4 linked regions of the Lepisosteus oculatus genome follow. The protein of the gene in region 4 interacts with the protein of the main gene of each other region in a pairwise test. Links are inferred from orthologs where the notes say so. Each region holds a gene or a part of one and is shown on either strand. Other genes may lie near its edges.

The links. The genes of interacting proteins can lie anywhere in the genome.
Region 1: the proteins of ubiquitin-conjugating enzyme E2 N (region 4) and trim32 interact in binary tests that used the Homo sapiens proteins (3 or more experiments, as listed by UniProt). The link is inferred for Lepisosteus oculatus from reciprocal best matches to the Homo sapiens genes UBE2N and TRIM32.
Region 2: the proteins of ubiquitin-conjugating enzyme E2 N (region 4) and mid2 interact in a two-hybrid assay, tested with the Homo sapiens proteins (2 studies listed by BioGRID). The link is inferred for Lepisosteus oculatus from reciprocal best matches to the Homo sapiens genes UBE2N and MID2.
Region 3: the proteins of ubiquitin-conjugating enzyme E2 N (region 4) and znrf2a interact in a two-hybrid assay, tested with the Homo sapiens proteins (4 studies listed by BioGRID). The link is inferred for Lepisosteus oculatus from reciprocal best matches to the Homo sapiens genes UBE2N and ZNRF2.

Annotation. Positions count from the first base shown.
Region 1 is NC_090719.1:11,226,108-11,233,080, forward strand, and holds the start of trim32 (E3 ubiquitin-protein ligase TRIM32), read right to left. Parts: upstream 3,018-6,973; 5' UTR 2,512-3,017; intron 982-2,511; 5' UTR 962-981; coding exon 1-961. UniProt on the Homo sapiens protein: E3 ubiquitin ligase that plays a role in various biological processes including neural stem cell differentiation, innate immunity, inflammatory resonse and autophagy.
Region 2 is NC_090703.1:28,285,507-28,292,812, forward strand, and holds the start of mid2 (probable E3 ubiquitin-protein ligase MID2), read right to left. Parts: upstream 3,018-7,306; 5' UTR 2,732-3,017; exon of another isoform or gene 2,728-2,731; intron 1-2,727. UniProt on the Homo sapiens protein: E3 ubiquitin ligase that plays a role in microtubule stabilization. Mediates the 'Lys-48'-linked polyubiquitination of LRRK2 to drive its localization to microtubules and its proteasomal degradation in neurons.
Region 3 is NC_090705.1:41,643,888-41,651,359, forward strand, and holds the start of znrf2a (E3 ubiquitin-protein ligase znrf2), read right to left. Parts: upstream 3,018-7,472; 5' UTR 2,265-3,017; coding exon 1,865-2,264; exon of another isoform or gene 1,704-1,864; intron 1-1,703. UniProt on the Homo sapiens protein: E3 ubiquitin-protein ligase that plays a role in the establishment and maintenance of neuronal transmission and plasticity. Ubiquitinates the Na(+)/K(+) ATPase alpha-1 subunit/ATP1A1 and thereby influences its endocytosis and/or degradation.
Region 4 is NC_090702.1:52,389,816-52,397,210, forward strand, and holds the start of ubiquitin-conjugating enzyme E2 N, read right to left. Parts: upstream 3,014-7,395; 5' UTR 2,983-3,013; coding exon 2,896-2,982; intron 1-2,895. Other genes in the region: mrpl42 (large ribosomal subunit protein mL42), read right to left, coding at 5,417-5,462, 6,123-6,286, 7,291-7,375. UniProt on the Homo sapiens protein: The UBE2V1-UBE2N and UBE2V2-UBE2N heterodimers catalyze the synthesis of non-canonical 'Lys-63'-linked polyubiquitin chains. This type of polyubiquitination does not lead to protein degradation by the proteasome.

The DNA of each region.
Region 1 (6,973 bases), on a different chromosome or scaffold from region 4:
CCATGTCGACGTCACGGTACACATCCAGCGACAGCGCAGCTATGTCATGGGAGCCTTCGTCTGTGTCGACGGTACACTGCTTGCTCACCACCTGCCCCACGTCCAGAGGCTCCGAACGTTCGACCTTCGCCAGCTCCGGATCCTGCAGCTTCAAAAGCGCGGGCAGGTTGCTTTTCAAGTCCAGCTCCTCGTCGTCGCCGGCCTCCTCCAGCAGAGCGATGTCAGCCTGCTTGATCTTCATCGTGAGATAGTCGCAGCGGGACACCACCTGGACCTCGGCGATGTTCAGCAGGTAGGTGTGCTCCTCCAGGATCTGGGTGTTGAGCTTTTCGATTTCGCTCAGCGAGGAGGCGAAGGCCTTACGGGACTTCGTCAGCTCCTCCTGGAGCCTGAGCTCCGCTTTGGCGTACTCCTGCTGCACGGCCTTGTATTTCAGCCGCAGGGACTTCGAGATGCCGTCGATCATGGCCTTTTTCTTCTGGATATTCCCCATCGTCTCCCGCAAGATGGCGAGCTTGGCGCCCACCTCTTTCCTCCGCTGCTCTGCAGCTGAGCGGACAGTCAGGACTATGTGCCCTTGGTGCTGGTGCCCTTCTGCTTTACAGGCATCGCAGAGCACCAGGCCGCAGTCCTTGCAGTACTGCCTGGGCAGCCGGTTCTTGCAGCCTTTGCACATCAGGCTGGTCGCCGAGCCGGAGCTGGCGCAGTCGATGATTTTCAGCACGGTCAAGTTGTCCGCCAGCTGGGAGATGCTGCTCATGCGGGAGACTTTGCTGCAGAAGGGGCAGCGCACCCCGTTGATGGTGCTCGCCAGCAGCTTCTCCAGGCAGAGCCTGCAAACCGTGTGGCCGCACTGCAGGAGTTTGGGGCGCAGCTGCTCCCGGTTGAAGGTCTCCAGGCAGATGGGGCACTCCAAGACCTCTCTCACCACGTCTGGGTCCAAAGTGGCAGCCGAGGCCATGATCCTGTAGCCAATTCCACCTGGCGAGGAGAGGAGCAAATGAGATAAAGCATAATTTCCCCGTCTGTGATCTGATGGAACTCAATAATAAATGCACTGCACTGTGGAATAAATCGTCCTGTTTTGGTAATGCATTTGTATCTTTTAAACTTGGAAGGAGACTACGATGCACTTCTGTATAATGAACTGATGCGTTTTGTAATGTTCCTAAGAGTAGCATTAAGCATGGTTTACACAAGAGGAGGCCCATTTTGCTTGTTTCGTTTTTCTGTAGCTAAATTATCCAAAGATTTCCTACAGCCTTTTCTTGCAAAAGAAAAAACCAGATTGTTTGCTTGAGCAGCTTGTTCCACATTCCCACATCCCTTTGTAAAAAGAATGATTCCCCATTCTGTCTTAAACGCACCTGCACATACAATAGCTCCCCGCTCATAGCCTCTGTAGATTCTGAAGAAACCTGCAAGGTTGATTCTGCTCTGCCTTCGCAGATTTTAAATACTTAAATCAACCACTATTCAAAATGAGATGGGTAAATTCAGGCTCAAAGAACTGACTTACATTGTAAAAATCGCTCTCAAGCCCCATACTTTCTCAGCTTTTTTAAAATTCCAAAGTACCTAGTGCTCATGCAAAGTGGAGACTGCAGGAATGATAGCAACTACCAACAACTAAACGGGCTACATGTACCGAATTGCCTCCTCCTTCATATCCTTTCTTATGTTTCGTACCTTGGTCCAGACCAGTCTGTATTTGCGCGGTGCGACTACTGCAGTGGACAGCACTTTAATCAAAAGGCCGTAAACCTGAATACTTCAGACTCTTCTAGGCTGGACTGCAGCTATATTAGCAAGAGGGTAGGGGCTTAGTCTAGTGACTGTCTGCACCACCCTGACTGCCTGCAGTGCCCCTTTAAATTACGCTGCTGAAAAATGCCAACCAGAATGATTTTGTGATAATGAGGGTACAGCGACTGCACCAACGAAAAAGCATATCAATGGCTATATCAGTTAAATGTCTTTAAAGAAAGACGCAATAGGCGGGATGAATCGCTCAAAAGCTGCGGATATTTTAAGCAATTCTGGAGCATTCCGTTTTAAAGTATATTAACGTCTAATATTGTCATTTAAGAAGAGGATTTAGGGATAGTGCACGGATTTGTAGAAAGGGGTAGTCGCAAGCAAAAAAAAAACCAAAACAAAGTAAGATAAATACGAAACCAAAGGTGTTGATGGTGCAAATAAAACCATGACGTCCACTAGCGACAAAACAGCAATTCTAGTGCAAACAGCGGCGAATCCACGCCGGTGTTAATTTACCGATAAACTAGCGAGGTATTTGCATGAAACGATGTTTCGACTTAATCGTACAGTAACTGGGATCGTGTGCCTTCTGTGCCAAGAAGCAGTAAGCGACACCTTGCTTAGGAGGCCTCTGACGGCAGTATCATCTTTACAGCACAGAAAGCACACATACCCCGGCTGCTTCCGCAAAGCGGGTTGCATTAACGAAATGGAGATGCTACACAGCTGGGGAGCTGGTTGTGCTCTTACCTGCACTTTCCGTGCCAATGTCAGATCCCCAGGCCGAAAACCCCGCTCCCGGTTGTGCCAGGCAAGACTGCGGCTCGGGCTGTGACGTCTCCTGAAACTTTATTCCCTCCTTCAGAGGTATTTCATTGGCCTCTCCGTACGCAGTGCGACCCGTTTCTCAAGACGATTGGCGGCGTCAAGCATCAATGAAGCAGGAGAGAGCAATTGTCAACAGCAGTCACAGTGCGACTTCCTGGGATTTGAAGTTCCTTGTGAGGAATTCCTCGGGTCCCAGACTTTCTGTTTTTCCCCCACACCGAGAATTTACTTGACACTGCTTTTAGATGTTTCATATATAAATATGTCCAGAGCACATCCTTCGGTTGTCTGTTTTTTTTTTGTTCTAGCTGAGTTCTCGATTACTTACCTTAAATTCACAAGGGACATTTTCCAGTGTCAGACCGTTCTCGACCTCTTCCAGCTCGTAAACAGGTGCAGCTGGTTCAGGTTGGTGTTTAAGTAACTTGTAGCTCAGCTGGAAAAGGAAAACAAAAGAGAGAGTTTCAGAGTTTTGCAAGTCTTTTTTTCTTGATGAGGTGACGACTTAACGTATTCATTGTATTTGCATTAGTACAGAATAACGCTTTTCATCCCAAAGAATCCTGAAATACTTCATAGGTAGGATGAGACCGATTTTATTCACCACTGAAGTGCAGCAACCACCTGGCTCATTTGTGCTACATTCTGCAGTCCCACAAAAAAAAAAAAATACAAATGGATCTTATAGGTGTTCAAAATCCCCAAAGGCGTTAACAAACTCAACCCGGTGGACTTTTCAGAACGAACGGTGAAAAACCGAGAAGTAAAATACGTACTGTAGCATGTAAGTGTATTTCCGAGGATAGGAAGCACTTTCTTACCCAACGGGTTGAACTGTAGGAACACAGAATGGCCTCCCCCCAGCTGTAATTAATTAAATTAAGGAAAACCTCAGACAGAAGGTCCAGAGTGGAATTTAGCCATGACACCTGTTTTGTTTGTGGGAAGAGTTTGAGGACAGACTCGACGCAACGAATGACAGGACACACACGTACAGGTATTCTGAAGGTAAATGCATGGGTTTAAGAGAAAAGTAATTCGTCCGTTGAAGGAAATTAAGCAATGGTGGGAAGCCAATGATATGCAGTGAGCCTTTTACATAATGCTGTAACACATCAGATTCCCTTTGGAATAAAAAAAAAATGGACGAAATATTGCCCTTCGCGATTTGTCTTTAATCTGTATCATTGACATTTTGAGGTTGCCCCGTGTATTTTGAATTCAAAGTACAGTACGTTTTTAGGTATTTTAAAGCCAATATAACGTGTTGTCACTAGATGGCGGTAGGAGCACATATTTTGGTAGCATACAGTCTTGCAGCCGTAATAAGAGATTGAGATATTAGCGTCTGTTGGAACGAATTGATAGGAGTACTTAACATAGCAAATCGCGGATTTGTAGCTTTTTAGACATAACGGCAAGCTGTACAATTGTAATGTGGGACCTATTGGTAGTATACACATTTTTGCATTGATTTGTATGCGTGTTAAAAGGAATTATTTAGTGTATTTGCCTTGTTTTTGTGGAACTGGTGCGTTTTGAGCACGTGATTGTATTGTATTCAGTCATCAAACTGATCATTCCCATGTAGCAGTGTGTACTTTCAGGTTATAATACAAGATTTATGTCTAATGAAGTTGAAAAAATGCTTTGGGTTAGGTGACAAAGGCTGTGTATGGGATTTGTTGTCCATTGGTGTAGATCCTGCTCATGAATTCCTCATGAGAATTACTGAATACCATATCATCCAGATGAGTTCATCTGAGCGAAAACAGTGTATTTAAAATGACAGCATGTGTAGCTTCTGAGTAACGCAGCCAGTAAAATGTACTAAAAAAAGTACCATATCAAATTAAATGTATTATTAATCTTTATTATAAAAATGACTGCTTAGATTGCATCCTGAGACCTACAGTCCAGACATCTTTAGTTCTAGTCCAGTATACTCGATTAGCTGACTGTAACAGCTCTGTTAACTTGACACCACCGCAAACAGCACAAATAATGATGGTTTGCTGGTCAGTGCCATTGAAAGTAGCAGCATTTGTGCTGCTTTTCCCCCCGAGATATAGTGCCTTATTTCTTCGGGGTTGTGACACTTGCACAATCTGTGACCTGTAGGGGGCCCGGGAGATTGCAGAGGAGTCTGTGAGAGCTGCGTCTCTCCTTCAGTCTTGCCAGATGCCCTTTAGAAGAAGCATGGGCTCCTGAGCATGAATAAGCCAGGATAGCTGTGGAAAGGGCATTTATCAGTCATAAGCAGATGGTGCCCAATTCAATGCTGGCACAAGCTTTATTGGGGAGAAACAGGGCTTGGTTTAATTGGAGGTTTATGTAAAAACAAAAACATGCTCAATATTTATTGAAATTATTGAAAATAATAAAATCCCATTCCCTTTTAACTTGACCTTACCAAATATCTCGCTTATCAGTTTACTCATTTTCCTTGTAGGGTATCTGGCTTGTGTTTACCCCAGCCAGTGCTAGGCTACACTTACCATACACGTCGGGATTATAGCTAACTGATTACAATCTGTGTTCTGCGTTTTTTACTTTGCTTTTTCTCTCTTTCACAGAAAGTTGTGCTGGTCAGCATGTGTGAGTAGCCTATAGAGTAGAGTAGTGAATCCCTGCTTCTCGATTGGTGGAGAGGATTCAAAAACATCCTGAAGTTTATGCTCCAGCTGAAATGTTTTAATGTTTCAGACAAATTAAGTTATGAAATTAGACAGACTTTCTGAAATTGACCTACTTGGCTTTGTTGGATTTGCTGGGCTGTAACCCAGACAAATATCCTACTCCTTGGTCATTATCTTTTTTTTCAATAATCTGTTTGCCCTGGAGTTAATGGATCATTGCATACAGTCCTACTGTTTTGGTAAAATTCAGCTGGACTGTGCCCTCAGAGGTCAACAGCTGTGAAAATAGGAAAAATTTTTTTTCATACCAAGAGTTACTATTAGGAAATAAAGCTGTTTCAGTTGAATTATGAATATTACTGTACCTCATTCTGTTTGATTCACATTAAATGCCACTTTTTAAAATGGAAAATGAAAGAGTATTCTCAAAGAAAAGTACAAACTGTATGCTAAATGAAATGTAATCCCATTTATAAGGTACTCAAAACTCTTTCAGGGCTAACAGAAACTTTGGAGGTGGGCGAGCAGTATTTCTATATGCGTCATTTGAAAGTGAAAGCAGAAATGTAGAGGGCATCGTCAAGGGCAAAACACAATTTTGGCGACCACTGATTCCGAGCACATTCCAGAGTTGCAAAATGAGGTTTACTACAGACTGTAGACGTCAAGAGTCATTTATAAAGACCTAATGGGATTTCCTACTTGGATTTACATTTCAGATATTAACAGAAAAAAAAATCTTTCTGGTAAAAATTATACAAAATTATGAATCTCCAAAATGTATAGATACACCAAGAATAACATATAGTATATAAAGGAAGAGAGATATTATAAAGGTCTTTCTATCTGTATGCTTTTCAAGATGGGTTTACAGCTAGACCTTGCTAGAAAGATACAATATGCATAGTTTGGTCAATATTAGCTAAGTAATCCAAAGATCTCATCCAGCCTCTTCTTTAAAGAAGCCAAGGTATTAGATTTGACAGAATTACTGGGTAGTTTATTCTGTACTACTACAACAATGTTTGTGCAAAAGTACATCCCCATAGTTTCTAATGTTTTCCCTTTGGTTCATATTTTTACTGTTGAAGAAGCCCAAAGTGTTGACTTTGTCAGTGTTTTTGAGGATTTTGAAGCGTTCAGATGAATCCACTTGTGTCCTTTGTCCATCCGAAACTGAAAAAAAAAAGTTTTTAGCATATCAGAAGAGGGCATTCCTTATTGCTCTCTTCGAGCCTGAGAATGTAACCGGTCTCTCTTCTATACTGTATACTTATTCCAGAGCAGCAAGATTATTTTGGTAACATAGTGATCAATATTGTGCAATTTTTAACATAATTGAACTTTAAATTCTACACTTTCTATATATAATTATATTATATATCCTAACATTATGTTTCCCATTTGTATTGCCCACATTATCTAAAAAATGAAACTGAAGTGTCAACATACAGTAGATACATTAGTCTTTTTCTCAAGCAGAAGAGCTAGTTCTACCCCAGGTACATTTTTTTAAATTATTTTAGACAAAAGTGAAGGTTTTAAAAAATCCCTTAAAAGCACCTGCCCCTACACCTCTCTACCCCTCCCAAAACAGTGCCTACTGCAGAAGAAACATTGAAACGATGTTTAGTACTAAATATCTCGTGTCATTCTTGGTCAAACATTACATTTTGGATTTATTTCAGCTATGTGGGAGCCTCATTCCCAAGCAAATGGATATTGGATTTAATTTTTGTTACAAG
Region 2 (7,306 bases), on a different chromosome or scaffold from region 4:
TGGACCCTTCCACATCCTTTCCCAGATCACCCCTGTCACCTATCGTCTTGCCCTCCCTCCAACTGTCAGGGTGCATCCCTCCTTCCACGTTTCTCTCTTGAAACCCTACCACAGATCTCCCCTCTCCCAACCTCGACCTCCTCCACAAATCATTGACGGCCTACGTTCTTACACAGTTAACAAGATCCTGGATACCCACTGGCTCCGGGGCCGAGGGCAGTTTCTTGTCGACTGGGAGGGCTATAGCCCTGAGGAGCGTTCATGGGTTTACGAGGGAGATATTTTGGATCATGGCCTCATTGATGACTTCTTCCATGAACGCTCAATGGGGTCATCAGGAGCCGACCCTAAAAGGGGATACTGTCACATCCCGCACTCGCCCTCGCAAACCCCACTACATTCCCAAACGCACTGTTTCATGCTCTCACTCCTAACTGAACCAATCACATTCTCACAGGCACCAGATTCCACAGATTCTCACTCCTGAACCCATTACACAACCATGTTCCTCTCCCTTCAGTATTTAAAGTTCCTTCACCAAACCCCGCTCACTATTGTAAGGCCTCTTAAGTTTTCTAGTGCACGGTATTTTCTTGTTGGCTTACTCGGCTTTTGGATTTGACTTTTCCCTTTTGATCTCACTTTTTGGATTACGATTTTGGATTGTTTACCTCTTAAACCGGCAGAGCTCACAGCTATGCATAGGATCCTCGGACAACTACCTGCTCCGAGACACCCTGACAGAAAAGCATTCATAACTTACTATTCACAATCAGCTTCCTGAGTGCAGACATTCCTGCCATACTCTTTCCCAGAGTCTTCTACAGCTATTAGCTTTAAAAAAAAAACATCCTCCAAATGCTGCTTAAATGCGTGCTTTGCCTAAGATTCTCCATTTGTTATTTTTTAGTCTTGTTTTATTTCATCAACATCTTTATTCTTAAAAGCAAGCTTCCTCATATTTGTGGCATGTTAATGTCTTTTGTTATATAAGTCTTATTATTTGGACAGACCTTTATCTTCCTTGTTGGAATAATTTATTGCACAGAAAAAAACAGGCACTCGGTAGTAACCATTATGTCATTAATAGCTTTAAATTTTTAAATAAAAAATAAAGGTCTTCTTATTCAAGAAACATTTGTTTCAAAAAATTAATATTAATGGAATTCAGAATCTGGATGGTTCCAGATATTTTCAGCATTGTTTCCATCTCCATTTACACATATTTTTTAAATACCCATCATTCCATAGAAAATAACTATTTCTACATTAGGATATTTCATAGAAAATATATTTATGAACATGCAATTTGAGTAAGAATATTATTTTTTTCTGTATATGATTTTTTTATTCAAAAGGTTAACTTTTTCATGTTTTTTTGTTTCCCTTGTCATTCATTAGAAAAGAACAATCAATCAATCAATTTTTTATTTAGTTAGGATTTTCTAAGTATTGGAATACTTAATAGCAAAGATAATCATGGTTTTATTTCTGTTAAGGCTTATAGCCTATTAAATTATTTTTTCCCCATTATAGTCTATGGTCATTCAATTTTGTTATTCGTTTTAGTATGTCACTCGTTTAAAATGTTTCGATCTCAAGTTGATCATGATGAACTAATTCAAGTACTGATTTTTCTTAATGTTTAATCTTTATTAAAGTCCTTAACAATTAAACACTTAACCTCCAGAAACTTGTTACGGGAACAAAATGAACCAATTTATTTTACCACAAATGTTAACAAGATCATTGCCGTCTTATAACGTTATTCGATTATTAAATAAAAATTAATTACATAAAATCTAAAGGGTGTTTTAAAAGGAAAAATATGAAAACCGAGACCGCGTCAAGAGTGAATGCTAAATATAAAATGTTCACAATATCATACAGCCATTATTGTAATTGTCACACGAAAACACTGATACTGTATGTTTATATAATTTACTTTACATCGGTGTAATCACTGACAGAAATCTGCAAGTCTTTTCTGGGAGGAAATAAATATATGTATCCTTTGCCATTACCTTTATAATGAAGTGAACAAAACACCAGCGACATCATTTTCAAAAACCGTAGCTTTGATACTACAATTTCTCAGAGGCACAAAGGTGGAACACATCTGGGCGTACAGGCGATTACAGAAAATCTACACCAACACAATCACCTCGTCTCATGATAAAGCCGTGCATTTGCCTTAAAACCCACCTACACCCAGCAGTTTTTTTCAGTTATTATTTATAAACGTGAACAAGTTACTATAATTCTATTTTCGTGCAGTTAAATGTTAACATTTAGAAGTGCTAAACATTAAACATCGCTAAGGAAAAAGACATTGCAAACCAACCCAAAAAATAATTTACATTGTTACCAGTCCTATAGACACCCAAAATCTAGAAAATTATCGACAGAATGCATTACAGAATGAAAGAAAAAGTTCAGTAAATGTAAGTCTGTCTTCAGGTAATCAAGCAATGCTTGGCATTTTTATAGTACATGCTATATATCGTATATATAGTACATAATATATGATTATTTTCCTCGTATATTATCAGAACCGAAATATGCTTTGAATTGCTCCAGTATTTGGTATACTCTTTCACTGGTTACGCAGTCATCTAAACGTCTGGCTTTGCTTCACTCTCTCTTGGCTTTTCTCAGGAAAAGAGTGTTGACACGAACCAGAAACACTAAGAAGAGACACACACTGAAGGGAGGGCTAACAGTCACCTACCAGCTTACTATGCCAAACAATCCTTTCCCCTGTCATCTTTGAAGCCTGGAGAAAAACGCAGTGAAGGAGAGCTCCTAGCCAGGAAGGAAAGCAACACAAACGCAGTCTCCGTGTGGCGTAGCAAGAACAAATCTGACTGCTGATCTGCTGGTTAGCAGCACAAACACTGGCTGCTCAGTGAAAAGGCTAAGGTTTTGAATATGCAACTTCAGAGAAAAAAAAAGAGACAGACAATCGCAGGAAACCGGCTCCTCCCACCCATGCAAAAGGAAAAGCAAAGGCGACAGAGCTGGCGCATAAGCTGCTCTACTCTCCGAAGAGGGAAGGATGGAAGTCCTATCCCCTTCATAAATGTAAATGTCAGGTTGTTAAAGACTCAAAAGTTAATTAGTAATGGAGAATTATGAGCAAAGAATACACCATTCGTAATATTCAGAATAATGAAAGCTATAACTAGTCGTCTTTCGTGAACAACCATTTAGACTACGTTAAAAACACGACTCAACGACATTAAAAATAACCGGGAAAAATAATTACAATGAAGGTCATCTATTAGTAAAACTGACATATATTCAAAACAGTGATGTATGAACTCTAACAATTATTTGCACACAGTGCTTGGTTTCATCGCATTGCAAAACGCAGTTGGATGCAAAACGAATGCATTGCAAAACAATGCTAATCAGATAACCTTTGTTTTATTCAAACCTTCACAAAAGTAAGTGTTCTATAGGGCCAGAACTTACTCAGGGTTTCTGTAGTGGTAAGCAGGCTGAAGAGCAAAAGAATGCCCCGGTTTAGTCCTAAACCTACAATGCACAACCCCCCAGTAAATATAAGAGCTATTCATTCATGCTGCTGGATCAAGTGAAACAATCACAGTACCTTGAATTATTAGTGTACAGTACATAACAGTACTGCAATAGTTATTATTGTGGCAGCCTCGCCCGGTGGTGAGGAGGAAGTGCTCCCAGTTACTGAGGATATCACAGCACTGGCTGGGAGCTGTAGCCGGGAATTGTCGTAAGATGACCAGCAAATGATCCTGCTATTTAAATAGACATGTGTTAACTAAAGTGTTCTCTGAAGTTTAGTGTTCCATAAGTTAATTGTGTAGAGTCCGTTAAAGAGTTACCACCCTAACCTGTGTATGTGTACCATCAGTCCCCTAATGTGTGTGTGTAAATCCTAGTTTTTGGTTTTTATTGTGAAAAAAAAATAAAAGTAGGTGCTTGTGTGCCTACACCATCTCCTCTTGTCCTTTATCCTGAGTGAACCTGTAGTCGTTACAATTGGTGTCAGAAGCGAGCAGGATGGACAACCCGTGGCAGATGTAAGCAGACTCTGTCAAGCGCCAGCAGACCCTAAAAGAGACCGGACCCAGCATCAGCGAACACCTGGAGCCTGAGCAACTCCTGGGTGCAACGGTTGGCCACAGCCCTTGCAAGGGCTGCCCAGTAGTGGCCCCGCCTGGGGAAGCGGAGTGAATCCCCACTACTCCTGTCCAGCAGACACTGCAGAGAGGGGATGCGCTTTCCTCAGGGGCTGGCCAGCTGTTCCTGCACCTTCCGGTGTGGGTACAACCCAGTCGCTTTGATGGGGAAGCGTCATGGGAGACGTATGAGGCACAGTTCCAGCTTGCGGGCCGAGACGGAGCTGGCGGCGGCGCTGGAAAGAGCAGCCTGCCAGGTGCTCCTGGATTTCCCAGAGAAGGAGGGGGGTTGACTATGCAACGCTCTCCAGCTACGCTTCGGGGTGGAGGAGGCACCGGACCTGATACAGGAGAGGCTGACCCTGTGGCGGCGCTGACTGGGAAAGCAAGTGGGCTCGGTCGTAGCTGATGTCTTCTTCCTCACCTGCCGAGGATACCCAGCATTCCCCCGGGAGACGCAGCTGGAAATGGCTCTCCAGGCCTTTCTCAAGGCCCTCTTACCCGAAAAGCTGCAGCCCCACTTACAGCTGGCCGTGTTCGGTGGGGCTGGCAGCACCAGCAGATGGAGTGTGCCCTGCTGGCTTACCGAGGCAGCGACAGAGGAGTCCAGTGAGGGGGAAGAGGAGCCAGCTCGTGCAGTAACCCCCGCAGAGCAGCCCCGCAGCTGTTTTGTCGATACTGTGTGAAGAGGGGACACCGGGCCCCAGAGCTTTGCACTCCGAGGTCGGCGTCAGGAAATGGGAGCAGGATAGCTCAGCATAGGGACGGCCACCCCTGAAGACCTCAACCCCCGATTCAGAGAGCACCGCGAAGACTGGTGCCCCGTACACCACCATGGGGCATGTAGAATGAAGCTGGGGCCTGTACCTCCACTGCCAGATCGAGGACCAGCACTGCCTGGCCCTGCTTTACACCAGTTCATCGGTAACCCTACCCCGGCCTGGCATCTTCCCCGACACCGAGGGCACCAATCCCCCAGGATGGGAGGCCACCGACCTGCGGCTGAGGACCATGACAGGACAGCTTGCCGCGATCCGGGGCAAACAGACACTCTCCATCCGTCTGGGTGCAGCGACAGTGTGCCCCCCTTGCTACCTAGCACCCATTCAAGAGGACTGCATCCTGGGGTTGGACCTGCTGCAGCAAGTGGGGGCCCCCCTCCAACAACACCAGGTGGGGGCTCCGATAAAGCGAGTAGGGGTGGATATTTTGGGCCCGTTTCCATGCACTGAGTGCGAGAACTGCTACGTCCTGGTGAAAGTGGACTATTCACCAAGAGGCCTAAGGCCTATGCCTTCCCAGACCAAAGTGCCCCTACGGTTGCCGATGTTTCACTGGAGGGATGTTTGCCAGGCTGGGGGTACCAGAGGAGTTATACAGTGACCAGGGGTGTAACTTTCCTAGTCCTAGGTCTTTGCCAGGGTGTGCCAGCACCTGGGGATCTCTATGACACAGACCACCCCACTGCATCCCCAGAGTGATGTGCTGCTGGAGCGGTTCAACTGGATGCTTGCCACCCAGCTGGTCACCCTGGTGTCCCAGCATCAGTAGGAATGGGACCGCCACCTCCCCCTTGTGCTCTAGTCGTACCGGACTGCGGTCCAGAAATCTACCTGGTGCACCATGGCCTCGCTCATGCTGGGCCAGGAGATGTGATCTGGCCTTTGATTCCCCCGCCCTGAGATGGGCTAGCACTGCCGGCCAGACCGATGTGGGACCTGCAGCAGTGGATGTGGCGAGTGCACAGCTTTGCTCGAACTCACCTGACTCAGGCAGGGATCTGGCAAAAGTGGCACTACGATCTGCTCTGCAGGGGGCCTGCCTTCCAGTCCGGGGTGGCACTGTCCTGGGAGTGACCCGCTGAGATCCTAGGGGTAGTGGGCAAGGTTTGTCACCGTGTCCGGTTGCGAAAGCGGGGGAGAGTGGTGGTCCTACACCGAGACCACCTGGTACCCTACTAGGTCGGCAGGGAGGCTGACTATGGGGAATCCGCTCTGCGGTGCAGCGGCCGCTCACACAGGGTTCCACAGCCATTAGCTGACTATGAGTACAGCCTGGTATGAGTCAAGTGGGGGAAGTGTAGCGCCCTTGCCCGGTGGTGAGGAGGAAGTGCACCAAGTTGCTGAGGGTATTGCCTCACCAGCTGGGAGTTGTAGCCAGGGGATGTCTGGGGGTCCATAAGATGACCAGCAACTGACCCTGCTATGTGAATAGACCTGCGTTAGCTAACGTGTTCTCTGAAGCTTAGTGTTCCATAAGTTAAGTTTGTAGAGTCAGTTAAACAGTTACCACCCTAACATGTACCGTCTGTCCCCTAATCTGTATGTAAATCCTGTATTTTTGTCTTTGTTGTGTAAAAGGAAATAAAAGCAGGTGCTTGTGTGCCTACACCGTCTCCTCTTGTCATTTATCCTGAGTGAACCTGAAGTCATTACATTATCTACATGTATTTGATCCTTAAATATATTATACACATACAGTGGTGTGAAAAAGTGTTTTTTCCCACTGAAATGTTCCCACTGAAAGATCATCAAACAAATTGAAATATTAGACAAAGATAACACAAGTAAACACAAAATGCAGTTTTTAAATGAAGGTTTTTATTATTAAGGGGAAAAAAAATTCAAACCTACATGGCCCTGTCTGAAAAAGTGATTGCCCCCTAAACCTAATAACTGGTTGGGCCACCCTTAGCAGCAACAACTGCAATCAAGCGTTTGCAATAACTGGCAATGAGTCTTTTACAGTGCTGTGGAGGAATTTTGGCCCACTCATCTTTGCAGAATTGTTGTAATTCAGCCACATTGGAGGGTTTTCGAGCCTTAACCGCTTTTTTAAGGTCATGCCACAACATCTCAATCAGATTCAGGTCAGGACTTTGACTAGGCCACTCCAAAGTCTTCATTTTGTTTTCTTAAGCCATTCAGAGGTGGACTTGCTGGTGTGTTTTGGATCATCGTGCTGCTGCAGAACCCGAGTGCGCTTAAGCTTGAGGTCACGAACAGATGGCCGGACATTCTCCCTCAGGATTTTTTGGTAGACAGCAGAATTCATGGTTCCATTTACCACAGCAAGTCTTCCAGGTCCTGAAGCAGCAAAACAGCCCCAGACCATCACACTACCACCACCATATTTTACTGTTG
Region 3 (7,472 bases), on a different chromosome or scaffold from region 4:
GTATATCCCACTTGAGAGTAATCCTTTAGCGCATGAATCTGACTATTTAGAAGCCGAAAGGAATTATATTATTTTAAAGCCTTTTTGAAGTAATCTGCTCAACTCCAAGACCAAACTAATGCCAGGCACCGAACACCAATCAGACAGATAAATCAAAGTTACCTGGCCATATTTTAAATTGCTGCATTCATTTGCGTGCTTTAGTCACATTTTGAAGGAAATCACCAAAACCTTTACTCAATTTGGAATCCTTTTATAATCCCGTAACAACTGAAAGAAATTTACTCTAAATAAAAATGCAATGCACGTTAAATCAATTCAAAATAATACAACTTTCTCGTAATGGGTTACCCACAAGGAGCATTAAAAATGCATATCAGTAATAATGTATCTCATCACTATTGTTGCATTTTGACGTTTTAAGTCTATGGAACTCCTATAGGAGGATGACTACTTCCAAATATGCTGTCAGCTCCTGTAGGCTTAACGCAACGTCTGATACCAATTCTTTACTGAGGGCTGTGGATCAGCTGTCATTTGAAAGACTCTTCCGTTTGTAAACGTTTAATAAACGATCAAATAAAATTAATTCCGAATCACACGAATGGTGTAACGCCACATATCATATCTCACAATATTAAACCCAGAAGTAAACGGTGCCAATAATTAAACTCTGGCTTAGGGCAGTATAAACAACTTTCTCTGGATCGTAATTATGTTGCAACCTCAACTTAAAGATAGATTTCTTCCGCGACTACTATGTTACACATTCAGAACAACAGCACGGACACAGAGGAAAGCAAACCACATGGCTCATCGCAATCTTTTTCACACCCCCACAGCCGGCACAGTAGGAAATCCCTGGGAATCTCCCCTGGAAAAGGGCAGTTCCAGCTAGCACGTCGACCCCCCCTGCGTGTGTCTGGGAGCAAACCCCATCTCCTTGCACAAACCCACATCTGTGGGGACGCAGGTCGGGCACGCAGACTGGCAACAGGGCCAACTTACAGAAACCACCACCAGCACCCACCCACCCGCTCCTGCTTCCAGTCTTGCTGGAAATCGGCTGTCAACCAGTTTCAGTCTGGGACTCCTGCTCCAGCCGAAGACGGTACTTTCCACACGGCCGTCAACCCCCCCACCTGATGCACACGAGTTTCCTCACGCCCACCAGCTTTCTGCTCCGTCTCAGCTGGCTCCTTCCCGATCAGAGCAGGAGGGGGTGTGCCTGTTTATTGTGACAGGGGGCTCAGGGCTCTCGAGTTTGATCAAAACAGGAGCCGTGCGGTTTTGCTCGAGGTCGCGTCCTTTCGAGAGGAATGACAGAAGATGAAAGGCACGACCTCCCTTTTTTTTTACGGCCGGGGCTGAAGGGGGCTAAGCTACACACCTGGTGGGGAAACCAACACCGTTTTGATGTTGGGTGTTTGTGCGTGTTCGCTGTTGTCTTTGAAGACAACCAACCACCGGGACGCATGATCAATCTCAGCCCTCAGAAGTGAACAGGTTTTTTTTTTGTCCGCTCCCTTATCAATCCAATATCAACCAGAAATTTCCAGTTGGGTGCCCCCCCCCCCAGCTCGCAATAATTCGTGCACTGTTGACATAACCCCCCCACACACAGGCCCAGGCCAGCTGATAAAACTGTGGAGTAAAACTAAAGGTCAAGTTCGTACGCGAAACACTATGCGCACTAACTTCCAGTTCACCAACAGTTTTCCCTGCGCAGTTACGCACGGTATAAAACAAACAACACGTTGCACAAGTGCAGCTGGTACTGAGGCGCTACACACACACACAGGCAGGCAGGCAGACTCCGGTGGAAATGTGTTGCTGTCGAGACACAACCCGGCTCTGCTCTTACCTCCGAAGAGATGCGGCGAAAGGTGAGACGGCAGCGAGCCGATGAGCAGCCGCGGCGCGCCGTGACCGCCGCCGGTGCCGCCGTCCTCCGGGGTGCTGCTGCCGGACTCCTGGGAGCCGCTGCTGGGGATGTTCAGGCCGGCTTGGTTCAGCGACTGGGGCCTGCTCCCGGTCCCTGACCCCGCTCCGCCGCCGCCCACCGACCTCGTCCTGGGGCCGAGCGGCTGAGCCGCGGCGGCGGCGGCTCCCGAGGCCCCGTGTGCGGAGGCGGGCTCGTAACCGTACCTCAGCGCCGGCGTCCTGCCGTGCCCGGGCCCGGCCGAGGTGCCCGAGGGCAAATCCGAGCCCGAGTAAGCCCTGGTCCGCCCGTTGGCCGCCGGGCTGCTCTGTTTCGCTCCCATCTGTCAGCTACCAGTCCAGCCCGGGGACTGATGATGAAGTCTTGAGCGGAGGTGTTGCAGGGGAGGGAGGGGGCACTCACAAGCTGTCCAGCCAACTGAGAGGAGTTCCCCCCCGGCTGTGTGCGCCGGGAGAGCAATCCAGAGCCCGGGCAAGGCAGTGAGGGAAATGTTAATAGTAACACCACACAAAAAAAAGGAGAAAAACACAATAACAACAACCCCCGAGGCTGCCTGGCACCGCCAGGAGTTAAGGGGGCCGGTGGAGGGGGTTGTTGGCTGATGGTGAAATTAAAACAAAAAGGGGGAGGAAAAACGTCAGGTAAGAAACTCCCCCCTGCCGGGATATGTCAAAACAAGAGCATCATACAACAACGGCGACAACGAAGGGGGGAAAAAAAAACCCCAAGAAGAAATGTTCAAAAGAAATGTGCCACGGCGATTATTCCCCGACACCGTGCGTGTGCGCTCCGGGCCGCCCGGCCCCCGCTGCTCGCTGCTGTGCTGGAGTTGGCGCTGGCTGCCGTGCCCGTCTCCGCCGCCATGCCTCGTCTGCCTCGCCGGGGAAGGGAGCCGGAGAGGCGGCCGCCGATACACACACACACACGCACGCACAGAGAGAGAGGGGTGGGGTGGGGTGACGAGGGAGGCGGGAGGACCGAGAGCAGAGACGGTCATGGAGGGAGGGAGAGGACGCGGCGGCCCTGCCCTTTGTGCGTCAGGCGACGTCGGCACCGCCGGGGCACTGCCCACCCGGAAACCGCCGGCCACCGCTGCCATGGCACCGGGCTGGGGACACGCGTGATCCGGGGGCGGGGCTGCTGTATCTGTCGCGCCCCACGGACGGGAATGAGCTGCCCCTCTCGCCAGGTGGCCCCGTGGAAAAAAGGACCCTTATCTTACGCTTTTTAGCTGCCAAGTTACGGTACTGGCCGGTACTTTTTCATGCACAACATGCAGCAGGAAGCCTTAGAGCATGTCACAGAGCAGTTTGAACTAGCTGAGACGATCTGTTAAGCCATTACGTGGAGGAAAAGTTAACAAAAGGTCTTTTGTTTACACAAAACAGGCACGAATGAAAATGACGTAAGCCACCTTTTACAAACTACAGCCTCTTCATTTCTTCTCAGCACAAAGCTTGCTGTCTGTCACCTCTTGAAAATAACATACAGTAAGTTCGAGACAGACAGAAGCAACAGGTCAGGAACCATATCTCTGAGAATCTCAGGTCACTAAGCCATGAAATCAGACTCTCTTCAATAAGACACACTTTCAAGTCTGCAGATGGGCAGGCTGGTGGGGACCGATCTGTGTCACTGGGGAAGTAGTTTGAAAGATGAATTTAACCCGTATTTAACAGTAAACCCCTTAATAATTGTAACCAACAACCATAACATTTGAATTTGAAAATGTGTATTGTTTAAACCACACAAACATGAGTCAGTTTTGTTCTCATTGTGTCATTAAACAATAAAACATGGTTAGTTAATTTTAAGATATTCCATATACAGTAGTTACATTATATTCCAGCACAAGCAAGTGAGCAGATGTGAGCAGCACGGAAACTTCCCATGAATTAAAACTGAATCAATTGAAATGGGAGCCTCTGAGAGGCTTTCCTTTTGATTGCTGCCTTTTTAAAGAGTGGAGCACCTACAGCCTGTAGGAATCGCAGATGAGGCTTGAGCGATGTTTTGCTGAATGCAGCAACGACTGAGTCGCACTCATGAAGTCTCTATGGGCCTTCTCTTGCACAAAGCAGAAGCATAGAAACACTTTGCCTGTGGCACGAGGTTCAATTTTGACGCATGTCTCAGAGCTCTCCTGGGGCATTGGTTCTTGACTGTAATTTCACTCACTGTTTAGGGTTTGCAGTTAGTTGTTGGTGTGACTTGTTTCACAGTATTTTGTGTATTCCTTTTTGGTTACATAAAGTTAAATAAAATAGAATACACTGAGATCTATTTTGTACACTGAGGAAATAGGAAGGGCTGTATGTCTAGAGAGCTGCAGGGGAATGTGCACCACTAGTTGTGTTCCTCTAGGCTCTTCATTGCTTCCTCTCCCTCTTCTCTCTCTTATAAACAGTTTTGAGAAATCTTGTCTGGTTTCTTACTGGTTAGCAGTTATAGCCTTGAATGAAGATATTCATGGTTAAAGAACCTGGGCTATGAGAAAAACTGTTCGTTTCCAGAAACATAATGTGGCTTGTGTAGCATAATATGTATGACCTTTGTTATAATATGTGTTTTAGCAGGGTTTTTATTCTACATGGATACCTGTACAAGTAGAAACAACAGAGAGTCACATTATAATATGTGCACTGTGAAGAGCTGAACAAAATACACAAGAATTAATCAAACAATAACTAATGTTAATAAGAATAACACATTCAGTCATTTTTCAGTAATTCATGTATGGATTTTGTGTGGAAACACATTGTTTGTGAATTTATACATTGATAGGATCCTTACTGTGCTTTAAAAAATATAGTCCGCATAAGGAAAGGGCAACAGCTATCACTGACTTCAAACAGCGCAAAGTTCCGACACAAATGTGAAAAATGATTATTGCTGTGAGCACACTGAATGCAACAATATAGCATTGTCCATCTCCTGTATTTGCTTAAAACAGAAAAGTATTGTGAACCTACAGACAGCAATTCACACTGTATTGAAAGAACACTGAAAGAAAGTCTGTTCTTTTGATTCCAAACTCATTTCCAAACGATGAAAACAATGAATAAGGAAAATTCTTCATGCTGTACAAAAAAAAGGTACTTATAACTCCAGCAAAAATATTCTTGATGTGGGTGCACTGATTTATTAATGAAATGCCTCAAAAGGTTTACGGTTTAAGGATCAGTGTTTTAGATTGTTTTAAGGTACTGGTTAAGAGGTGGTAATGTTCTTCCTTACCACCTCTCAATAGAATGGAATACTCTGTTCTAGTTACAAGTTTTTAATCCATGTTCTCTGAGGAGATCTAGAGGACTGATGTGATTGGGCTTCAGGGATTATACTCTGATCACAAAGTAATTGAATTTAGTATCCATTGAACAGGGACACCCAGACTCAATTCTATTGATAAAGGGCCTGTATCCTGAAATGTATGAGTTGTTGGTAAAGAGTAAGATGGTGTGTTGTTATTCTCGAAAAAAGCCTTCAAATTCAAGAGCAGGAGCGTTTCCAGAATCTCGGCTGGCACTGCGTGTTATCAATAGGGACACTGCTCTTCTGATGTGTAAAATTGTACCAGCCTGAGCTCAAGAGACCTTAAATGTCAACTGTGTCAAGTACAGCAGGAAGCTGACAGCTACATTTCTGTCAGTGTCCTGCAGCTCCCCTCCAACTGACTGCAGCAGCTGTGAGTTTGTAGTGGGTTTTTAGTGTGGGCTTGCAGACAATTACAGATCATACACAATAGATATGAATTATGTCATTAGTGGCGTACCACAAGGGTCTGTACTAGAAACACTGATCTTCTTAACTGATATCTAGATTCAGGTCCAGTATAGTTAGTAAACTCGCCCACATTTACAGATGATACCAAACTAGGAGGATCAGAAAACACAGTAGAAGTAGTAAATCAAATTTTTTAAAAATAAAATAAAATTCAAGACTTGGCCAACACCTGGCAGATGATGTTTAATGTAAACAGCTGCTTAGTTATGCCTGCAGGTTGTGAAAACATAAACTGTAAATATGTCATAGCAAATGCTGAGCCAGAGGAGGCTGCTTATGAAAAAGACTTAGCTGGTCACTTACTGTACAAATTCCAGACAATGTGGGGAGGCAATGACACATGGAAACAAAGTGCTGCAATGTACAGTATAGCTAAAAGTGTAGAACTTGAATCAAGGGATTCTGGTCTAGAATTAGTCTAGAGAAGAGAACCCCGAGGGATTCTGGGGCTTCAATTAAAGTCCTACACTGACAGGCTGAAGGAAGTGGACAAGTCCCACAGAGCACACACTGCGGGCTGTGCAGATTTTTCCAAGTTGTTTGAAGAGCAATTCGCAAATTGCAGACCATGTTTATCTAACATAATACATTTTTCAGGTTTTGAACTGGCTAATTACTAGAGAACAGTACAGATATGACGTGTGATTACTCCACTGGCGGGCAATGTAATTAGCGGAGTACCATAATAATCTGTATTAGGATTGTCGCTGTTAGAGTTGTACTGCTATAGTGCATAACTACTTTACTAACGCACTAGTAAGGTCTCGTTAAGAATACTGTACACAGTTTTGGCCGCTGCTTTATTGATAATATTATGCTGCTCTGTAAATAGGTCAGGAGAAGAGCACCCAGGTGCTTTCTGGGGTGTGAGGGAAACTCCTACACCGACAGGCTGAAAGAACTGGGCCAGTTTAGTCTTTAACTAAGATTGCTGCTACAAATATTCAAAATCCTCCACGGCCGGGACAAAGCCCATTTCTTCAGAGTGAACAGTGAGACACCAGGGAAAGCACATGGACAGGCAGTTAGAACTGAAAACTGGAGCTGCTATTGTTGTGCCCTATCTACCTGCTCTCCATTTCCAGTCTGCCTTAGAGCTCTGGGGTCTGTGCTGAGTACACTGTGAGGGTGTGAGGATTTCTAGTCTGTAACAAGTGCTGGAACGACGAACTGGAAGAATATGTGTCAGGCATTCCTGAGAGCGCTGCACCAGGCCACCGTGAAAAACTACAGCTGAAAGGTATTATTCTTTACCAGCCCTCTGCTGATCTCATATTCTTCTTTCATTTATATCCATTGCTTGATATGCCCTGTGCGTCTCTTGTTTTCTCCTTCTTTGCAGAAATCACTCTTTGGCTTCGCTATCCCAGAAAAAAAAACAGGAAAAAAAACTCTGTCAGAGTGGATGAGTCACCTTGGAAAATAACAACAAGCTGGAACAGAGAATCCATGAGGGCCAAGCGAATACAGAACACGTAGAAGCTAGCAATTCAGAAAGGGTGACGGTATAAGATGCAATGGTTCTTTGTATATTAATGAATGGCTAATTCTTTATTGGGGAGTGTGATTCATCGTGTTATAGATAGCGGCAATTTTTGATGATAACTTTAAAAGTGACAAAGATCCTTATTTCTGTGCGCAAAGGCCATGATACCAGCTACCACTCATCCCCAGCTACGCAGGTGTATGGGCCTCACGTCACACCAGATGTCTGGTACAATGCTTTGATAATAGCAGGACAGAGCTC
Region 4 (7,395 bases):
CAATCCGAGCGCCACTTGTTCCAACCTGGGTCATGTCACTAGCCCAGTGCTAAACTGGCCAAGAGGTGCCAGAGATATGGTGGGAGTTAGTCAGGCCAGGACTCTCTCAGCTCAAAGTGACCTCTGTGAACCTCCTGGGCACCTGCAGATCGGAAGTGATGTCATAGAGGGGTGCACCTCTCCTCCAACCAATGCTGAACTTCCTGAACGAGGCTGCATAGCCTGCGAGGTGTAAAAATATGAACAGCTTGAAAGCAGGTGGGCTGTGGGAGTCTGGCAGCATTTCCTCATTCTTGGGTATGGCTGCAAGGCTCATAGCTGTAAGCTGAGACTTGAAAGCACAACTGTCAATTGCAAATCGGGTGGGCGGACATCACAAAAATATGTAAAAAAATTTCCCAAAAAAGACACAAAATACTTCAAACAACTTTAAAAAATCTCATGCTTAGGGACACTCCCTCACTATGATGCTGTAGAATCATTCTACCTGCCTCCCAATGCACCTGGTCTCACACCTTTTTTGGAGTTATTTAGGAATAAAATTAAAGACCCCAACAACTAATAGCGACTCACACCAAGTAGGGATGTTGCACAGTAAAAACCTGTACTTCATGATCAGCCAACACATTTCATTAAATGCATTGCACAAGAATCTGTAAGCCCTCTCTGCACTAAAGAGCACTGCAGTGCTTAACTGCTGTACATCAGTCATTTTCAACACAAAGAGGCAGTGATTCACATACCACAATAACAGATTTCAAGCCTTGTCTCAGATTTTCTATTCTAATTCAATATAAAATCCAGAACCTTCTGTGGTTTCTAAATGCAAGTTAAAATTAAGTATTTAAGGGAGTAAACATTACCTAGCCCGGATTTTTCACCTTTCCTGGATTTAACTCCCTTTAATCCAAAACTATACCTCAAGGCTTTCTGTAATGAAATGGTCTTACGGTGATATTCAGTTAGTTCCACTGTGAATTGGCTCTAACCAGCAAGCACACATTGCGTGATTGTCAGATCTGCAAATATAATTTCCTTCAGCAGAACAGCACAGAAAGTCATGCAACTCAGCATCTAAGAAACACCATTTCCCTTAATTTACTCCGGGAGATGGTTCTGGCGTCCGTGTGACCCTGCATCAGATAACGCAGTGGGATAAATGGAACTCAAAGTGAAGATAATTGTGAAGGAGTTAGGTTTTCTGTACACGTATTCCATTCTACACAGGAAGAGACAACTGATGCCATCTACAAGGGCTAAGTCAACAAAACCACACCTCCTCACTCTGCCAGACCTAAAAAAAAACAATCACTACGTGCCTCAATAAGCAAACGCAACGCTTACAAATCTGCCAACACAACCAGCTTTTCACTGAGCACTCTTCGATGCGGTAGCAGAATACCAATTGCACAAGAGCTGAATAGTATAAAACAAATCCAGGTTTCACATTATTAAGCATACTGGCACTGTTGGGGACAATGAACTATTTACAACGAGAGAGAAACTGAACTGCATTTGCTGCCTCACTTCCTGGAATTGTGTTATGATGGAAGATTTTATATGAAACCCATGATCACCTGCTAGTACCCATGAAGAGACCGCACACATTAGAATTTCGTCTACAGCTACAGAGTTCAGTGCTTTATGCGCATGTGAAGGGCTTTTAAATCTGAAAAAGAAAACGAATTACTCTCAGCCCTGATTAAAAGGAGCTGCTTGTTCTTCCAACAACAGGTCCGAAAGCCCCGGATTAATTTGCTAGCAGCAACCAGACCGCCTGGACGGGCCGAGGCGAGCTGAACACCCTCCTCGAGAAATTAAAATGAAACGTTCCTCGGCAGCTATAGGGGTCCTGCTGCGTTTTTTTAACACCCACGTCTTTCTACCAGATGAAACGTAGGAGTGCTCTACACGGTGCTGAAATTCACGTCGCTAGAGGGGCATTCTTAGACGCTTCTCCAGCGCGCTGCACCCACTACCCACTAGCTAAACCATCCTGATGCGGCACCAGACCCGATTCGGGTAGGCGCTAGCGTCATTTCACCCCCACCCTTTTTTTTTTTCGCCACAAGCGTCACGGCAGTGCCTCCAACAAAAGGCCGCGACGATAAAGATCGTCACGAAGCAGCTCGGATCGGCAAGGCCCGGGCGAAATGTCCTCCCAGCACCGGCAGCCGCGGCGTGCTGACCCCCGCCCTGCCCTGCCCTCCCCTCACACCCATCTCCGAAAACTCGCTTCTCCCATCTCATTCATTTCTATGGGCCCTGCGCGGCGAGATCCCGCCCATGACCGAGGCCTTAGCCCTGGAGGGGAAGCCCTGCGCAGGCGGAGGAGCGGGACCCGAGCGCCGGCCTGTCCCCTCTTCCGCCTCCCTCCCCTCCCGATTGCAAACACGACCCGCCGGGAGCGGCTGGCAAACATCTCGGGGCGCGATCAGATCAAATACCCCTCCACGCCCGACTGCTAAACGGCTGCTCAAGTCACCCACCCCCCCGCCTCTCTTTTTCCACGGCAGCTCTCGATGACATTTTCAGATGGCCTACACATGGCGCTTGCCTGCACGGCTCGGGGAGCGGGGAGTGGGAGGTCTGATCTGCTGCTGCGAGAAAAAAAACCCGGTTCCGCTCATTTTAAACCGCCAACAGTCCTTCGTAAGACGACAAGGGCCCCGATTCTCCGCCATCTTTAACCAGGGAGGAGGTATTTTTAACCCAGCCTCAGTCGGGCACTCGGGCTTGGAGCAGAGAATAAGCGGAAGTAGCCGGGGAAAATACTCGTATTGCAAGACTACTTAGCCGTGCGGGAGCCGCTTGCTCACTATTTTCCCGTCCCCCCTTGGGGCAAGAGAGCTGCCAGTACGCTACGGTTTAGTGCAGAAAGCTGTAGCGGCTTACCTTGATGATCCTGCGGGGCAGTCCTGCCATCTTGTCGTAATGCGGTTTCAGCTCTGACTCTCTCGCTGCTTCTCCTCTCACTTGCATTCACGGCGCTAGGGCGCAGTCGCACGGCTCTTCCGGTGAATGCCAGCACTGCCTCCCCGCATGCATGCCGGGTAATGTAGTTGTCCGGGGGCTGAGCGGCTACGTACACGCCGGGAGACGTCAAATGAAATGAACTACACGTCCCGACAGACGCCTAGGTGGATCACTCCCGTACTCCACGCCGAGCTACAACTGTTAACTACCATATAATGCATTAAACGGACCCAAAATGCACATCAATAACTGACGTTTAGAGGACTTCTGTGATGTGAAAGCTAATATTCATCACTTATGTTGACGTCTTAGAATTTCCCCGCAAAAAGGCAGTTTTATAGTTACCACTACAGCCACGGCATATAAGGAATAATACAGAATATTATTCCTTATAAGGAATATAATTGCAGCACAAAATATCTGCTAGATCATAATCTTAATATAAATAATATAATTAATAATTAATATAAATAATATAATTAATATTATTTACATTAAATAATAATATAAAACGCAACGTTGTGTCTCCTTCTCTTCTCAGCATGGAATAAACCTTTATTTCTTTGCAGCTGACGCAGCTACCTACTTGAACTAGTTTGTAAACTGGCTTCATATAGAAATATTTTTTCATTTTTAATCAGTTTTTCATCATATGTATATATTTGGCAGTAATTATTAGGTAATTATTTGAACCTATGTACAGTTTTATCACATTATGTCTTTCTTCCTTTTAATGGATGGGGGTTATAAAATAAGTATGACCCTTGAGAGATGGACTTAAGTTTTGTTGATGGCCTGCAAATATCAGCTTGTGTTTCTTCTTGAGTACAGTGGGTAAAAGAGATTTTTTTAAAGTGCTTCCACTTAAAAGACTAAAATTCCTCGACTTAAATATTCCTTTAATACATCAGCCTTTTCTCTTCCCTCATTTAAAACTTTCCGTTCCCTCAGAGCCAGTTAATTTTCTGTTGTCATGCTAGAAAAATAAACATTTACATTCAGCCTCAATTCCATTTTTCATTTCCATCTCTCTCCTGACATTTCTAAAATCCTTTCTTCACCCGGTCACACTGTCCTTACATTCCTTTTCTCAACCGCATGCCATTCTCCTCTGAACATTTTATAAAGTGCACTTATCCTCTCAGAAGTTTTCTAGTTTTATCTGCGAGAGACTGCCACCAATACTTTGGCTCCTGTAAACAAAAACAGTTTCAGAGCAAGTATATCTCGCAATTTTTTCAGATGGGGGTAAGGAATTCTCAGATTTCTCTTCTAGACCTTTTTTTTGGTCAAATGTCTAAAACTTAAGTACTCTTAATTCGATTGGCATGTTATTTATATGCTGTCAAGGAACGATTTTGGTGTTTTTCAAGTATATAGCAACTATATTGCACTGCCTGAGTAGGCTATACACTGTGATGCTGAGGGACAGAAAGACTGTAGATGCTTACAATTAACTAAACCATATATATCTTAAGCTTAAATCTTTCAGACAACCACAACAATTTTGTAACAGCTCATTGAACTTGAAGTGCACTTGAACCAGTCAGATCAAATCAGGAAAATCAGTATTTTGGCCAGTGTACGTATTTAAAGGAGGGATCAGATAAATATTTACTTGGCTGCCTTTAATCTAAAATGACTTGCACATGTATCCATTCATACAGCAGAGTATAAAACTGAAGTATTTTGGGTGAAACAGCTTAATAAATAGTCCAACAGCAGTGTCTTGAATCATATTTGAAGCTACAATGTGAATTTCACCATCTAGACCTCTAACCACTGCTACATATATATATAAAATAAATAAACAATCCACCATTGTGTAGTAAAGAATCACATTGCAGAGCTCAGCCAAGTCATTTATGTATAAGCACGTGTTGGTAATCATTTACTACCACTTTGTGAGATCTCACTGAACTGCAGTCACACATTTCACAAAAAATCACGTAAGTTGCTTTGGAAAGTGATCAGATATTTTTCTGAATTCACATATGTCATCATAACAAGAGGTGGCTCATAACTTGAGGTATTCCATTCATTTCGTATCTAAAATAGGATTTTGCACAGGAATGAGAAATAATAATAGTTCAAAGAAGGTCAGTAGTACTAATTCCATGTTATGTACAGTATATTACAGAAGAATTAGAAGGAAATTATAAGTTTCCTTATAATATTTTAAAATATCCTAGCTTCATTGTTTGTGGTTCCAATGTTGTGTGCCTTTTAACAGCTGTTAAATGAGTGTCAAATGAATGTTCTTGTTACTTTCATGACCTAGAGAATGGACATATTTTCAAAGGATCTTCAGGACAGCACTCAAAATCATTTGCAAAACATACAGTAAAGCAATTAGAACTGCAGTTTTTATTCGAGGACTTCAAACATCTTCACAGACAGCACAATGTCACCATTTCTTGAATGTCAGCTGTGTTCAAGACTATCTGTCTCTGGGAGGGTCAGTCTTTTTACGTCGCCTGTGGTACCTGAGAGGAAATAAAAATAAATTTCAGAAATTGGTCTCTGTGCAATATCTCACTCAGCAGCTACACCATGAATCTGTTTGTCAGAATTAATCCATCAAAGTAAATCACTTAATCTGACTGAACTGAGTTAAAAACAAATTTGAGGAATAGGTCTATTTTATCACTTTCTCCATCCAAGTTAAAATATACATTTTGTGGAACTGGGCCCTTCAAATAAAAAGGTTGGACTGCCACACAATTTTTCTACTCAAATTTTCATACCACAGGCAGACGCAAAAAACACAATACTTAAATGTGTAGTTCTGTGTACTTTATTAACTGGAAGAAATAAATAATTCTATATATAAAAATTAAAATAACTCTGAAAAATATGGGAGCCTACATTAGAGATTATCTTTTGTGTAAAAATTAATAGTATATAAAAACAAAAAATATAGTATTATACTGACATGCAATTACGTCATGTAATTTATCAGAAATTGCCACACCCCCATAAGGCATACAGATGTATAGGTTGTGATCTACTATGATCTACTTTGTTGCATACTGTACATTTTAACCTTAATTCTGCAACCAGCATATCACACTAACAGCACACAGCAATAAAAAACTAAAACAGTGTGCAATTCTTTTCAGGCCTTTACAGGATATTGTACTTACTGTCCTACTGGGTACCAGCGGTGTTTAGTGGTGTAGAACATCTTGCTCAGCTCTTCAATGGTGGGCGCCTGTTTATTTCGCAAAACTTCTTTATTCAAGTGAGCCTTCAGAACCTGATCATGTGTTTCCTCAGGTCTGTTCAGGGGGTCTGGTTGAGGGATAGGCTAGACCAGGAATAATAAACAATGACGTTTTGTGAAGAGCAAAATTCGCTTAAATTGCACTGGGAGGTATTCATTTTCACAACCCGTTCTTATTTAAAGAAAAAGAGCTAGACACACATCGTGCTCTAGACAAACAAATGCAACAGTGCGGCCATTTCCCAAATGATTTTAATCTAGATTCCATTCCATAAGTGTTGAGAAGAAGCTAATGTTGCAAAATAACGTTCCAACAGGCCATAGTTGTGCATTACAATTTACAAGGAGCATTTCTTTTCCACCCTGGCTAAAACTGGTAACTCGCAGACCAGCCCCAGAACAATGATCTCAGGAAAGGAGTGAGAGACCACGTTTCACTTTCACTACTAGAGCTGCTTCCTGTGGTACCGGCCTTCTAATGCTGAAGACTGGGCATCAGCAGATTGCAAGAAGCTGCACTTTGCATTGCATGACTCTGGGGTGCTATTAATTTTAAATTTAAATTTAATACCAAATTTAAGTCATGCCTGGAAATGTTCTATAATTGAAATGAGCTTACCACCCGATGCAAGAAAATTTAACAAAACCAAATGACATGACAGGCACCCGCAAACCTAGGACCATGGTAAGATCCACTACCAAAAGCGACCTCGCGCCAAAGGTGATACGGTGCTTAAATAGAATTCACTCACTTGATGATGTTACTTAATTTAACCGTCAGCTGTATACAAGGTTACATTCAAAACTGTCAATTAACTTTAGAAGAAAAATATCAATCAGCATAATCAATCAAGACAGAAATCACAACAGTAAGGAATACGATCTAAAAGTAAATGCTACAATGTGGGTCTTGATATTGTGGTGGAAGGTGATCAGATATGGTGCTGTCCTACAGTAAGTGCATAAGACACAAATGCACCTAGAAAAACACCAAGCTGGTGCTCTGACTGGATCTGAAAACCTTCTGTTGCAATCTGCCTGTAACGCGATTTGCTATTATGATGAAGGTGATGTCCTGCAGGGTGTACCTGGGTGTGTTCGTAGGGGACGTCCACTGCAGGGTGGTAACACACTATGGTTCTGCCATCTGATGTCAAGGCAAGGTCCACTTTGCTGTGAGCAATGGAATAAAA